Linked DNA regions of Kluyveromyces lactis. The protein of the gene in region 2 purifies or fractionates together with the protein of the main gene of each other region. This does not show direct contact. Links are inferred from orthologs where the notes say so. Each region holds a gene or a part of one and is shown on either strand. Other genes may lie near its edges.

Region 1 (6,782 bases), on a different chromosome or scaffold from region 2:
TACGAGAAAGACAAGAAGCGATTAATAAAACACATCCGTTTGGTATTAGGATATGGAAACCGGCTCTTTATAAGAAGAAAAGATCAGTGCAGCAAGCTGCAGATGAGGATATCCATGAAACAAAAATCAGAAACATTACCCTTGGTGTTCAAATCACTAATTTAATATGGTCTTTCACTGTTGGTCTGTTTTTATTTTTGATTTTCACAATGGCTTCATGTTTAGTATTGATCTTTGGAGGATTCACTGGATCTGCGATCGAGTATTCTTTAGTGTTTTATCGGTTGGGACGCTATTTACTCTGGCCATTCGGAAAGATTGTATTGATGAAATCAGATGCGCAATATCTTGTAGAAGATCAGGACGAAGGTATCAGTGCCCAGCAATTCTACAAATGGATTACCAATTATAGCAATCGGTTATTTTTTCATGAATCACAAGCTATCAATGATAATAATGCCAGCACAAATAATTCGAATAACTTTTCTTCCAGCCAAAACGCCAGGGCCAACATTAGTAATAATGACACATCCACTCGCAATAACAGCAATAACATAATCACGGCAAGAAACAACATTAATAACCATAGACAAGATTCGTATGGATCAATACCTATAATTACAGAGAGAACTGACACAAACGACGATCAAAGTGACGAAGAAAACGGACATTTACATCGTCGTCTATTTGGGCGTGGTAAATGGACAATTGGCAGATTCATTTTTTATTTCATGTTCCACATTGTCGTTCAACCAGTTGTGATGTTGCTGTCCCTAACAACTTGGTTGTTTGTATTCACTATTCCAATGAGTAATATCTTGTGGAATTTAATGTATCATTGCAGAAAACATCCTTTGGCTTTGAGAATCATTGACGTAAAAAGTGCTACGTCAGCAGTGGCAACCACTCCAATCGAAGATATCAAAGGCCAAAATGTCTTATTATGCACCTTCCGTTGCGCTGGGTTACACTACTATAAATTCACAGTGGATGGTACTAACGTTATGGTCATGAACTTGATTGCCTTGGTTATATTCACCATATTCGACTTTTATGCAATTAAAAATATCTGGCAAATCGACACTTGGCTAACTGATGGATCTACTATTTTCATGTTGTGTTTATTGTCTATTATACCTTTGGCATTTTACATCGGACAAGCAGTTGCTTCTATTTCAGCTCAGAGTTCGATGGGTGTGGCAGCTGTAATTAATGCGTTTTTCTCCACCATTGTCGAGATTTTCTTATACTGTGTCGCACTTCAACAAGAGAAAGGTCTACTAGTGGAAGGTTCATTGATTGGATCTATTCTAGCTGCCGTTCTATTATTACCTGGTATGTCCATGTGTGGTGGCGCTTTCAAAAGAAAAACTCAGCGTTATAACCCCGCCAGTGCCGGTGTTTCTTGCGCGATGTTAATTTTCTCGATGGTAGTTATGTTTATTCCATCAGTGTTGTATGAAATATATGGTGAGTGGGATTTACTTTGCAATGAAAATGGAGAGAAATGTCATTTTGTACAGCCTCAATTAAAGTTTGACAAAATGTACTCTGCTATCCTTAGACCCATTGTACTATTCTGTACGGTTGCATTGTTCCTTCAATATATTATCGGTATGTGGTTCACATTAAGAACGCACGCTAAACTGATTTGGGAATTACCGATTGCTGAAACGAAAGATGTGAACAATGATCAAAGTCAGCTGACTACTAGCATGTCTATGAGCCAAAATTCCTTTGCTCCATTAAATAAAACCAATTCCAATATTCTTGGTGTCACAAGTAGCACATCTGGAGCAAATAATGCAGCGAAAGCGACCAATAATTGTGATCAAAGTAGTGGCCACGACGCACCAAATTGGTCTAAAACGAAATCAACATGTATTCTATTAGGCGCAACTTTCTTGTATGCCATTATTGCAGAAATATTAGTAGATTGCGTGGATCAGGTCCTCGAACAATATCCAGCTGTGAATCCAAAATTTTTGGGATTGACCATTTTTGCTCTTGTTCCTAATACCACAGAATTTTTAAATGCTATTTCTTTCGCAGTCAATGGTAATGTTGCACTTTCAATGGAAATCGGTAGTGCTTATGCATTGCAAGTATGCTTGTTACAAATTCCAGCCTTAGTCATATTCTCTATGCTATACGTTTGGGGTAAAGATTTGACTCAAATTAGCATTAGAGATAGAATGTTCCCGATGGTGTTTCCCAGATGGGATTTACTTGCATCAGTAGTGTCAGTGTTTCTATTCACTTACTTATATGCAGAGGGGAAATCGAATTATTTCAAAGGAAGCATTTTAATATTATTATACCTGGTTGTCATTTTCGGGTTCTATTTGCAAGAAATAATAGATGATGATTTCTGGGATATATCTCTTTTCGTTAGATTCATAAACTAAACTGACAGAATGAAATGTGGAGATACTAATCCACTGATAATTACACAGGAGAGGACTTTAAATAAAGAATAAACAGACACGTTAATTATTTATACATATCATTTAAAAAAGAGTTTACGAATAATAGTCGAAGGAATTATGATTAGCAGGACACGAAATGGATGTCGAAAGAGTGAAATCCAACCATTTTAAAATACCAAAAGTGTGCTGTCACAAACCGAGATTGTGATGCACCATAAAGATTCCCTTTATACGCTTTTTTTCCCTTTGGGTATGTGGTCAAGGTAAATTGAGATGATTCACAGCGATCAGATGAGGCCTGTCCAAAACAGATTTCTAACTATACTCATAATCCCTTGCATCGACAGTGTTTGGTAAATGTTGATTTAATTTATTGAGTGTTGAAATGAGGAGGGATGTGCTAATTTACAATAGAGCGGTTGGAGGAGCGTGACCTGAGTTAGAAGTTCTGTGATTGTAGAACTCCAACTTTTCACCTTCACCAAGTTGTAGAACTTGCTTAAACTTGGTAGCAATGTTAGTCAAAGCGTTCAAGTTGGTAGTTCTAGTCCACAAAGCAATCTTGAAAACAGCCTTTCTGACATTCAAGACGCAACCGTTGATTTCTGATTCTTCTTCGTCGATGGTTTCACCAATAACGGCCAATAGAGTTCTCAACCACAAATCATCGATGTTATGTCTTTTGTTCTTGAATTGGTACGACAACTTACCACCTTCAGAGTTGGCTTCATCTTCCCATTCAGGTCTGATATCGTTTCTGAACAAATGGTAATCAGATTTGATTGGCAAATCGAATGGCTTTGGAATACCATTTTGAATAGCCCAGAACTCTTCGACAGTATCCAAACTGGTCACTGGACGCAATAAATCAGACCACGATTCTGAACTATCCACAGGGGGCTTAGTATACCATAAAGTCCATTTGCTACTCAAAGGATGCTTCAATTGAAATTCCTTAGGATCAGATAAAACAGTAGCTGGCTTGGCTTCGTCCACAGTTAAATCCTGGGTCTTTTGAGTAACTTCTTCAACGGACATGATATTCTTCTTTGGTCGTAAGATCGATGTCTTTCAGGTTCAAAATTGATCAGGTAACCTCTGGTCTTATACAGATACATTTACGAGTAAAAAACACTCGAAAAATCTTAAACATGCGCAGAGAGTCAATCCAATCTTTGATATCACATTCGTTAATCCAACTTCATTTTTTCTTCCATTTGCCAACTTCCCATAGTTAACAAAATTGAAAACCTTCGCAGCTGCTGCCTGTACTATGCTGTCACTGCTACAAATTTTTTTTTTTCTTTCTTCTAAGAGAGGGTAATGACGTTACGACTTGTCCGGGTAAAACATGAATCAGTTGTCAATACACGTGATTATATTCAAAGGACGGGTAATATTGAGTTTTCTGGAGTTTTTCATGCTCTCGAAGCATGCGAATTGAAATACAAACCGTAGCTGGCTTGTTTTAGCAGGATATCGGTATTATGTAAATTAAAGGGAGTTTAATTATGACAAGCACCTCATTAACGTAGCTGCTGTCACTATATCCATCGAATAGAAAGTTTATTGATCAAGGTGATAGTTTGTCGTAACATATTTCTTTTTGCCAAAGCGACATTTTCCTTCTAGTATGCATTTATACAAAATTGGGAAAATGGTACTCGGAAGCGCAGCTGTCATTGTTTCTGCTTCACTGGGCGCTCTATATTTGTACCAAAACAAGCTTATATACCCATCTTGGGCACAAGGTGCTAGAGACCATGTAGATACGCCAGATCAATACGGTTTGCCTTATGAAGATCTCACTTTAACGACTTCGGATGGTGTTCTATTGAAAGCATTTGATATAAGGAATGAAAATTCGACTGCAACCATGCTTGTTCTTTGCCCCAATGCGGGGAATATAGGATATTTCCTGCCCGTTGCTAGGTTTCTCTATAATGAGTTTAATTTGTCCATTTTTTTGTATTCCTATCGTGGATATGGGTTATCAACAGGGTTCCCATCGGAGAGAGGATTGAAGATAGACGCAGATACCGTCATGGACCATTTGACAAACAGTGAATTTCATAAATCAAGGAAGCTAATACTTTATGGGAGGTCCCTTGGTGGCGCTAATGCCATTTATCTTGCTAGAAAATTTACCGATATCTGCGATGCCATTATCCTAGAAAATACTTTCCTGTCCATTCGCAAAGTTATCCCATACGTTTTCCCAATGCTGAAGAATGTGGCATTCATGTGTCATGAAGTCTGGGATTCTGAACAGGAAATTGTCAACATACAAGATGATACTTTACCTTTCTTGTTTCTTGCTGGTTTAAGAGATGAGATTGTCCCACCCCCTCATATGAAATTATTGTATAAACTATGTCCCTCGAGCTGCAAAAGATTTATTGAGTTCCCTATCGGTTCCCATAACGACACGATAATACAAGATGGGTATTGGGTTGTCGTTAAAGAGTTCTTACAAAAACATAACTTGATATAGAAAAGATCCGAATTAACAGGAAATTGACTTCAGAATAAGATTGCTGGGCATCCCAATGGGCATACATCCATGTTTTCGTCAAAAAACCATTTTTTCAAACACTCGAAGTGACCCTCATGCCCACAGTTAAGCATAGAAATAGCCAAGCTCTTCATTGGTTTATTGCAGAAGCAACAGAGAGTATTGCGCTTAGAACATGAATCGCAGTACCAGTATCCAAACCTGGACATAGCACTTGAATTTCCTTCAAGTCTTTCTTTGATTATTTTCTCCTTGGAAGATTCGTTAACTAAAGGTTTATTGCATTTATCACAGAATAACTGAATGGAGGAAAAGCCAGCACTTGAACTAGAAATATCCTCGTAAGGACAGTTTTTCATCAACTCCGCTGCAATCTCAAATAGCTCGTACCGGTGCAATAATTCGGTAAATTCCGCTATAGAATTCTTAACTGTCTCTGTATCAACAAGTTGAAACATATCTTGAAATAATAACAAAATTGCCATCGTTAGTAGGATATTTCCTGAAGCAACACTCTGTTCGTATAATTGATGAATTAATCGCCTTGATGACCAAGGTGGGGTAATAGTATTTTCCAGTTTTTTAGTTTCATTCATAAGAGCAGTAATACCAGACATTTGAGTTGTAGTTTTTGCAACGCTCCCGTTCCATGATTTTTGAGTAGCAAATTCAGATTCCAATATATCTGATACTTCAGTTGCGCTTTTCAATTTATTATGATTCGCGTTTTGCGATTTCTTGCTATTCAAAAATGTGGCAGCCGAAGAGCTAAAGCTTGGCATGGAAGATTTTTTGCTACCAGTACTTTCCCTATCAGCATCAACATTTGACGATCCTGGAGAACGTAATTGTGACATGAAGGAGTCTATAAAAGATGTCCGCGGCCGACGTGGCTGGTGATGGTTTTCCGGATTTGAAGGAATTTCGCTTTGTGAGGAAACATGAGAAGGACTCGGCATGAGAGCGCTAGGCCCTGATTCCCTTCTTGGGATATTAATGAATTGTTTATTGTTTTCATCTTCTTCGAACGCCCTTTTTGTAAGTTCCTCTCTTTCTTCTCCTTCTTCCTCTTCATCAATTGCTAGTTCTGCTCTATCTCCATGAGATTGACGCAGCTTTCTAATTTCGATGATATCGTTCTGTAACGAATTTTGAATCGAGTCAGCCCTCGATATAGTCGTAGTTTCTTTTGAACCTTGAAGTTGAGCCTTTAAATGTGATACTGGAGGAGTTTGGGTTAGATGAGTGGGTTCGTTGAAAGAATGTCTATTATTTGTATTTACCGAGGAGCTCAGATCCGTAGCACTATATGAACTGTAGCCACTAGCAACAGATGCTTGCCTTGCCTCTTTCAAGCTAGTAAAACTGTCATTTTTTTTCCAAGGTTGGTCAATGGACGATTGATCGTTGACTTCTTGGTCAGCTGTCACGTCAACAGCCATTGACTCGGTTAGGACTTTCAAGTCCCATAATAATGAATCCCGCATTAGAAGCCAAATTTTGTAGTTTGAAAAGTCCTCAAGCATGATATAAATTTCAGCGTTCTTATCACATAGAGTTATCAGTTCGATGAGGTTTTTGGTTTTTACCTGGTTTGAAGAGTTGATGCAGGAACTGTTCTCATCCTGATTGGTTTCAGCTTTATGATTCGTAGCTGATTTTTCGATATTAGCACTTTTGTCAGAAACTGGTGTTTTAAGCTCTGTGCCTTTCGATATGACTTCGTCAGAGTCGTGAGATTTCGTATATTTGATCAAATGAGTCCAAGTATTATTTTCAGATAACCCCAACTTTTCCATCAAATTCGTTTTAGAATCCACTGAGCCATGTGTGCTCGA
Region 2 (7,990 bases):
ATTATTGTGAACTCTGACGATATCTCCTACACTGACACTTTTCCAGTAATCTTTGGCAAATTTACAATCTGGTAAGACAGGCAATGAAGGGTCAAGAAGACATAAATCATCTTTGCCACGCTCCGTCAAATCTCCACCGAATTCAGACTCCATAGAGTTTCTATAGGAACCGACAGAATCCAACGAATTTCTGGGAGTCTGCGTTTGTCTGATCTTATTATGCATTTCATGACGTTTCCTTTGAGCCCGCTGCTTTTTACCCTCTTCGGTAAAGAGTTCCTGGCAGAGATGAATAAAACGGAACAGCACCCTAGTATTTGCCTTCTTGAACTTTCTCCACAAAGATACTTTATCGTTGGACACATTAACGTTTTCGACACCTTTCAAAATGTGTGTTGGAGCGTTGTTCACTTCCATATCCAATATAGTTCTACGCGAATCTTCAATTGCATCTTTGAAAGAAGTGAGCACCACAATAACAATCAATGGCACAGTAGCCAAACCTGGATTTGCGACACCAAAAATTTGGAAGAAACCCATGATAATCAAGACAAGAAAATATACATTAGCGACATTTTTAAATTGGAATGCGATATTCTTTGGGAAAAAAGTCAACGGTGTATATTTAGTGGTTCTGATCTTATTACGAGGGTAGTATATGGTAGAGTTACCATCTTCGTCTAAAATATCTTCCGGTAGAGGGAGATTATAGTAAATTGTTCTTGTTTCACGTTGTCTATGGGATTTATCGTAATTTTCGTCATTATCGTCATCAGAGCTGTGACCCTCCGCTGCAAGGTTCGTATCATCAGCGAATGGGTTATGAAAATTTTTCTTGGTCCAACGAAGGGTCTTAGCTCTGCCCATCGCTGGCTTACCTTTCTTATCTCTTCTGGTACCCCAACGCATACGTTTCACGTGCTTGGAATCTTCTGCACTGGATAACTGTCTATCTTTTTCTCTTTCATCTTCTTCGTCAACTGCAAAGTTACCTTGATTGATGATTGGCGTATTTACATATGATCTTTGGTCGTCCGCTCCCGTGGTCTCAAAACTGATCTCTTCAAATTCCTCATTCTTCAAATCAGAAGTTTTCCCAGTGTCTCCAAACGTTAGCTGCTGGTTCTTTTTCTTACCAATCTTTGAGGGCGATGACGTTGATCCATTCTTCAATATAGAACCTTGTCTACCTTTCAGTTTAGTTTTAGAACCATCTGCTTCATTATCAATGGTTCCATCCAAGTTCGAAGCAAATTGATTTCCCTGTTCAAACACAAACCTATCATTAAATGGTGAATCTGGCGAACTATCATCCTTAAAACTTCCAGAATAAGGATCAGAGTCCTTTCCCTTTTTCTTTGGTCCAGTCATTCCTGATGTTCTACTTCCTCAAAGCACACAAACCACGAAACAATACTCCTTTCCAGCCAAGAAAAATCACTCAACTAGACACAAATTTGCACTGGTATGATTCTGGCAAGAGCACGTATTACAGATGTATTAACTTCGATGTTGTTCACCCTTTTCTAACCCAGTATTAACCTGTGAAATATAATGTTCTGATATATACTCAAATAGAGAGAGTCGAGACAGAAAGATGCACTCAAAAAACCGCTCAAATTAAAAGTGCGTAATCGTACAGTATTGAAAGACAATCGAAATCTGAGTTATTAGTACCGGATGTCAGCAGCAATGGACTACAGCTGAGTGTCCTGTACTAATATACTCTCAAGAATTAAACTTCAATGTGGTTCAGAAATGGAGAACATGTTTTGTTCAAAATTTCGAAAAGCCTTTTTAATTTGAAAACCTTTCCTATAATGTCAAGTATTTCCGAGAAAGCCGTTTCTAGATGATTAATGGAGAAACAGGAACACTTGACACAAGAAAACGAAGGCAGTTACACCACACAAAAAGCCTTTTGATTGTATATGTCAGTGGGTTTAACATTCTGTTTCCAGCTAATCCTCTAGTTTAGTGAATATATACGTTCATGTATATAAATATATGGTATGTGTGAGTTAGAATTTAGCTAAGATCATTTGCAAATTCGAGTTATTCTTTTGCTGGTTCCTCATCCTGAGTAGGTTTGGCGTAAAGTTTGGTCCATTCTTTTGCCTTTGCAATTGCGGTATCTTCATGCTTGATCCATTCCTCAGCGACGTCATTAGCTAACGGATCATTCGGATTCGGAGATGCAAGCAAGGCTTGCACGGACAAAAGTACTGTTCTGATTTGAAGGGCAGGTGACCAATTATTTTTCAAAACATCGAGACATATTCTACCTAACCGATCGATATTGGGATGGTATATTTTTGTCAAAAACCTTACCTTTGGTGCTTCCATTGGATAATCATCCGGTAGGAACAATTCTAGTTGGAAGACCCCATTTTCATAGGGACTTTGCTGCGGACCCTCTATCGTCACTTGGAAATAACGTAAATTATCCTCATGTGGTTCTGCAGTGATTCCGGGGACCGGATCGCTCACTAACCTTTCAGTTTCCTGTGTAAATGATATTTTTTTTTTTCTTGGTTAGTTATAACGCTATTAATTAATACTCAGATAGAAAAGAACGTGTAAGTTTCCAAAAATTTTCAACATACTTTGATAATTCTCTTGGGTAATGCTGCCATTGTACTTTGAACTGGGTGATCGGTACTCGATCCGCCGTAGAAAATCAGGAATAGATCCTGATTTTAAAAAGGGTTAAAGCTTTTAGTGCCTTAAATGCCTTCAAGACCTTTAATATGAAACTATTCGATATCGAAAAAGACAATGCGAAGTCACGTGATACTTCATCATCATCATCATCATCATCACAGGACAGTATACCGTCCATGTTGATGACTGTCAGAGAAAGGTATATAAAGACTGATAAAAAAACCTTTTGAAAATGCGAAAAACCTCTTCATTAAAAAGACTACTAATGTCCTCCCATTAGAGCTTTAGTATTATATAAAACGGGTAGAGTAACAATAATAGTTAGATAGAAAAAATCAGTAAGAAAAAATTTGAAGAGAAAAATGGGGCATACCTCCGGATTGAATTAGCGGTATGGAGAAAGGGTAGAGTGATGTGATGGATTGTGGTAATATGGTATATGTGGAGCGTGGTAATTTTTTTTATTGGTAAAGATTAAAAGCACAACATTTTTGGCAACAATGGAAAGCCTGTGATGAACAAAAAAAAAAAAAGCGAGAGAAAAAGAAGAGTGGCAGAAAGTAGTTTATTTCGACTAGTTTAGGTCTATAACAATGCGTAAGCTAATTAGCACCACCCAGTTCCAATGCGTGAAGCTGAGACTATTCATATAGTTAGCTGTTCGTTTTTTTTTTTAATTTTTCTTTTTCTTCGGGGGAAAGATATAGAAAGGACAAGATGAAGATCAAGGTCAAAAAATCAAGTTTAAGCTTGAGCTTCTTGTTCCTTCTTGAAGTTTTCGTAAGCAGCTAAGGCTTCTTGGAATTGCTGTTCAAATTGTTCGTCGTTGTCCAACAATTGGATGACTTGCTGTGGTGGTAGATCCAAGATCATACCGGTGATCTTACCAGCGGCGTTTTCGTCGTCAATCTTGGCACTGACCTTCTTGTACAATTGTTCACCCAAGGCTTGTCTTTGCTTTTGTTGTTGGATGTAGTGTTGTTGTTGGTGTCTTGGGAATTGGTTTTGAGGTGGCATACCTTGGTACATTGGACCGTTTGGTCTACCAGCAAATTGTTGTGGTGGTGGGACCATACCGTTCTTTGGAATACCGGCACCCATTGGGCCGTTCATACCTGGGTTTGGACCTGGGAAACCTCTTGGGGCCATAACACCATAGAACATTTGTGGCATGTATTGGCCTGGCATACCAGCAGCAGCGGCAGCAGCTTGTTGTTGTTGCTGTTGTTGGAATCTGATTTGGTTTCTGGCTTGAATTTGTTGAGCCAATTGGGATCTTCTGACATCCTTTCTTTGAGCAATGGCAACGTACAATGGCTTACCGGCAACAATTTGTTGGTTCTTTTCGGTCATAGCCTTGGTAGCTTCTTCTGGAGAAGAGAAACAAACGAAACCGAAACCCTTAGAGTTACCCTCTTGGTCTCTCATGACTCTAGCAGAGGTGATGGTACCGTATGGGGCGAATTCTTCCTTCAATTTTTCGTCATCGATGGAATCGTCCAAGTTCTTGATGAACAAGTTAACACCTTGGAACTTAGCCAATTTTTCCAAACGGTATTGTTCGTATTGTTTCTTCAATTCTTCAGCACGTTCGTACTTCTTTTGAGCTCTGCCAACGTACAAAGCTTGAGACTTGAATTCCTTACCGTTCAACTCTTCAACGGCCTTGGCAGCGGCGTTGTGGTCAACAAAGTTAACGAAACCGAAACCCTTTGGCTTACCCTCAGCATCCTTTTCCAAAGCAGCAGAGACAATTTCACCGTATTGGGAGAACAACTGTTCGAACTCTTCGTCAGTGGTTTCAACGTCAATGTTCTTGACGTAAATGTTGGTGAAGTTAGCCTTGGCTTCTTCCAACTTGGAGATACGGTCCTTCTTTGGAACGTGCATGGCAACGTAAACTTCCAAACCGTTCATCAACATACCGTTGACGGCTTCAATAGCATCCTTAGCATCGGATTCTTCCTTGAAATGAACGAAACCGAAGCCTCTAGAGTTTCCATTCTCATCTAAAGCAACTTTACAAGACAAGACTTCACCGAAAGTGGAGAAAGTTTCATGCAAAGCCTTGTTGTCAATGGCTGGGTGCAAGTTCTTGATGAAAATGTTACCAGAACCCTTCTTTCTGATAGCTGGGTCACGTTCGGACCACATAATTCTACATGGTCTACCGTTGATTTCAGCATAGTTCAATTCTTGAATAGCTTTCTTACCAGCTTCGTAATCAGTATAGTTAACGTAAGCGTAACCTAACGAAGCCTTGGTGACGGCATCACGACAAACACGGATCGAGGAAATTGGACCCAATGGTGAAAACACATCGTACAACAATGCTTCAGTAATGTTTGGATCCAATTCACCAACGTACAATGAAGCGTTGTTGTTTTCAACCTTAGAAACAGAAGAAGCTTCGCTTTCAGAAGCAGAAGTGGATGGAGCACTGGCAGATTGAGCTGGTTGCTGATCATCGTTGATCTGCAAGTTTTCCAATTGCTCAGCAGTTTTTTCAGTAATATCAGACATTATGAGATGAGATGAGATGAGATAAATTTAACCGAAAAAGATGGCGGTTGGTTGGTTTTGTAATGTGTTTTTAAAATATATGTTTTTTTATGGTTTTTTAATGTGTATTTTAGTGTATTGTTTTGTTTAATACCCACACAGTTGCGAACCTTTGATGAAACTATTAAGTTTTGATTTAACGATGGATGGAAATGAAAAACCCTTAGTTAACTTGAATTCAAAAAGACTTCTAACTGGAATGTTTTGACTAATATTAAAAAGATATAAACCACGCTTATTCTTTTCTTTTACCAAAAACAATTAAAATACAGGATACAGATGATACCTTTAGAGAGTTTGCTGACTTTGACCGTGGTCTTTTTAAACAAACAAATTGCACAAAATAAAATGTTACAATAACTGAACCAGAAAGGTAATACAAATAAGTAACAAACGAAACAGTATAAACTAACCAAGATAACTAAAAACTTATAACAAATTAAATAAATGAAACAACATCACAAGAACTTATTTAAAATCGTTATATAATTCATCCATCTCTGTGAGAACAGTCCTTAATTGTTGTGATGAGTTAGCCAAAAAGTGAAAATTTTCATTGAAAAATTTAAAGAGTTGAAAAAGAGTTTAAAGCTTTTCCACAAAAGGAAAGGTAGGTACGTGCGAAATGATCTGAGGCATCACCACAACAAACCAGGTATTTTACTAGCAGCCGGCTGTTTCTGGTGCGCCCTTGTGCCTCATGTCATTTATGAAGGTAATAATAACTAATAGCAATATGTTGTTGATTAGATATCTTTTTTTTTTTCGTAAATTGATAGGCGTATATATCTCTATGTTTTGTTACATTTGACTAATTAATGTTCAGAGGCTTTGATTTTGTCGTACATCGCCAGGAGTTTGGAAGATGGGACATCTCTTGGCCAGTAATATGCAGTGAAAGACCATAAATGTCTTTTATATTTTTCTGGAGAGGTCTTAGACGAGTCCTTCTTGTGCGATTCGATGTAGTCACCAACACGTTTCAATTCCTTCTTCAATAGGTTAGCCCATTGCTTACGTTCAAGACCGTCTCCTCCAGATCTTAGACGTTTGAGTGAGCTACGGACGTTTGTCATCGTTTTCTTACACTCTTCTTCGTCCATACTGTCGTATTCTTTGTCAGGAAGACGGATATCGGCTTTTGGTGCCAACGGTATGTCTTTACCTTTCCTCTGCTGTTTTTTCGATCCGACGACAGGCGTACCAGATCTTGATGATGGTTGTTGATGGTGATGGGCCTTGCCACGCTTTGTTTCGGAGCTATTGTCTGGTGTAGAGTCCTTGCCGGTTAAGTTAACACTATTGCCGTCACTTGGGGTACCAGCGGTATGGGCATTTTCGTTCCCATTGCTGTTCCCAGCAGTAGTAGCAGACTTCTTTGGTTTACGTTTGTTTTGCTGAGGCGTCGTGGTTCCGGTTGACGAAGAGCCGGCAGGGTGAGATGGATCAGTTTGGGGACCCTTAGCTTCGTCTCTTAGGACAGTGAATAAGTAATCGACTCTTCTACCGAGATGCACAGCACCGGGAGCTTTCTTCACTGTTTTCTTATTAGTGTTTTCAGAAGACGCCGTCACGATTGGTGTGTTTGCCGTAGTGTCAGGAGTTTCTGTCTTTACAGCATCAGCACCAGGTGTTGAAGACCCCGCAACAGATGCCCCTGGAGCAGATGGTGTGAGACTAGGTGCTGCAGGAGTGGCAGCTTTCTGAGTAACTTCATTGTTCAAGAAAAGTTTTTCAGTTAGTCCCAAAAACGGATCATCTCTGATTTGCATCCATGCACCGTAACCATACTTATAGATACCGATTAACAGCTTCTCATCGTCTTCTTTACCCCATACGCAATTCCACGCAGACACAGGTTTTGGATTCTTATTCACGAACTTGAATTGTAACGGGTCGTCTTTGTAGTTTCTTTCCACAAAATTGGATAAGAATTTTAGATTGTCGCGTCTATTAACAAGGGTGTCTGCGTTTAGTGCTTTAGTATCGTGGAATTCGAATAGGATGGCTCTTTTCTCTCTTCTTTTAGCAGATAAAAGAGTGATAGGAGTTTCTTTACCAGCATCATCTTCAGGCTTAATTTCCAAGTTTTTAATTTTCTGTCTGTATTCGGCTGCATCCTTTTCTAACTTACTAAATATTTCATGCCTCTTAGCCTCTTCGTCTCTCATCAAAGTTTCTGCCTCTGTAATCATTTCGTGGTAAAGCTCTTTATATCTATCAATAGATTTTACGGGTAATGATCCATCGGCAATCAGCTCTTCAAACTTGTTTTCAATATCACCAAATCGAAGAATACACTTGTATAATGCTCTGATTTCTCTTTCACCAAAAGCGTCCAAGTTGTTAGCTTTAGATCTCTTTCTAGATTTGGAGTTACCTTCGTCTTCTGAGTCACTCCCAAACGTTTCTCCGTTGACAGATCTCTTAATCTTATCAATGGCAGCAGTTTTACGGTTCATTATATCTAACTGTTCTCTGACATATTCTTCGTCGATACGCCTTTGTTCTTCATCCTTTAGTTTCTTGAGTTCATCTTCGGGGATAATGTCATCCCAATCAACATCAGCTTTATAATCCGTAACTTCAAACTGTCTCAAGAATTCTTCTCCACCCAAATTCGATTCCCCAAGCTCTGGAGTTGTGATATGATCCTCTGCATGGTTCAAAACTTCATCCAAATTCAAGTCTTCTAACTTTTGTTGATTATCATTTGGTTTGAACATATTACCAGCACCGAATTTCAAGATTTCGGAAAGCTCAC

The links. The genes of interacting proteins can lie anywhere in the genome.
Region 1: the proteins of PAB1 (region 2) and CDC33 purify together in Saccharomyces cerevisiae (affinity purification with western blotting; 7 studies listed by BioGRID, with this or other methods). This does not show direct contact. The link is inferred for Kluyveromyces lactis from reciprocal best matches to the Saccharomyces cerevisiae genes PAB1 and CDC33.

What each region holds. Positions count from the first base shown.
Region 1 is NC_006041.1:1,874,363-1,881,144, reverse strand, and holds CDC33 (translation initiation factor eIF4E), read right to left. Parts: upstream 3,468-6,782; coding exon 2,835-3,467; downstream 1-2,834. Other genes in the region: VNX1 (calcium/hydrogen antiporter), read left to right, coding at 1-2,408; KLLA0_E20989g (uncharacterized protein), read left to right, coding at 4,063-4,923; RTC1 (Rtc1p), read right to left, coding at 4,953-6,782. UniProt on the Saccharomyces cerevisiae protein: Recognizes and binds the 7-methylguanosine (m7G)-containing mRNA cap during an early step in the initiation of protein synthesis and facilitates ribosome binding by inducing the unwinding of the mRNAs secondary structures.
Region 2 is NC_006039.1:1,550,519-1,558,508, reverse strand, and holds PAB1 (polyadenylate-binding protein), read right to left. Parts: upstream 5,188-7,990; coding exon 3,409-5,187; downstream 1-3,408. Other genes in the region: aminophospholipid-translocating P4-type ATPase DNF1, read right to left, coding at 1-1,371; E2 ubiquitin-conjugating protein UBC13, read right to left, coding at 2,056-2,505, 2,607-2,636; chromatin-remodeling ATPase CHD1, read right to left, coding at 6,042-7,990. UniProt on the Saccharomyces cerevisiae protein: Binds the poly(A) tail of mRNA. Appears to be an important mediator of the multiple roles of the poly(A) tail in mRNA biogenesis, stability and translation.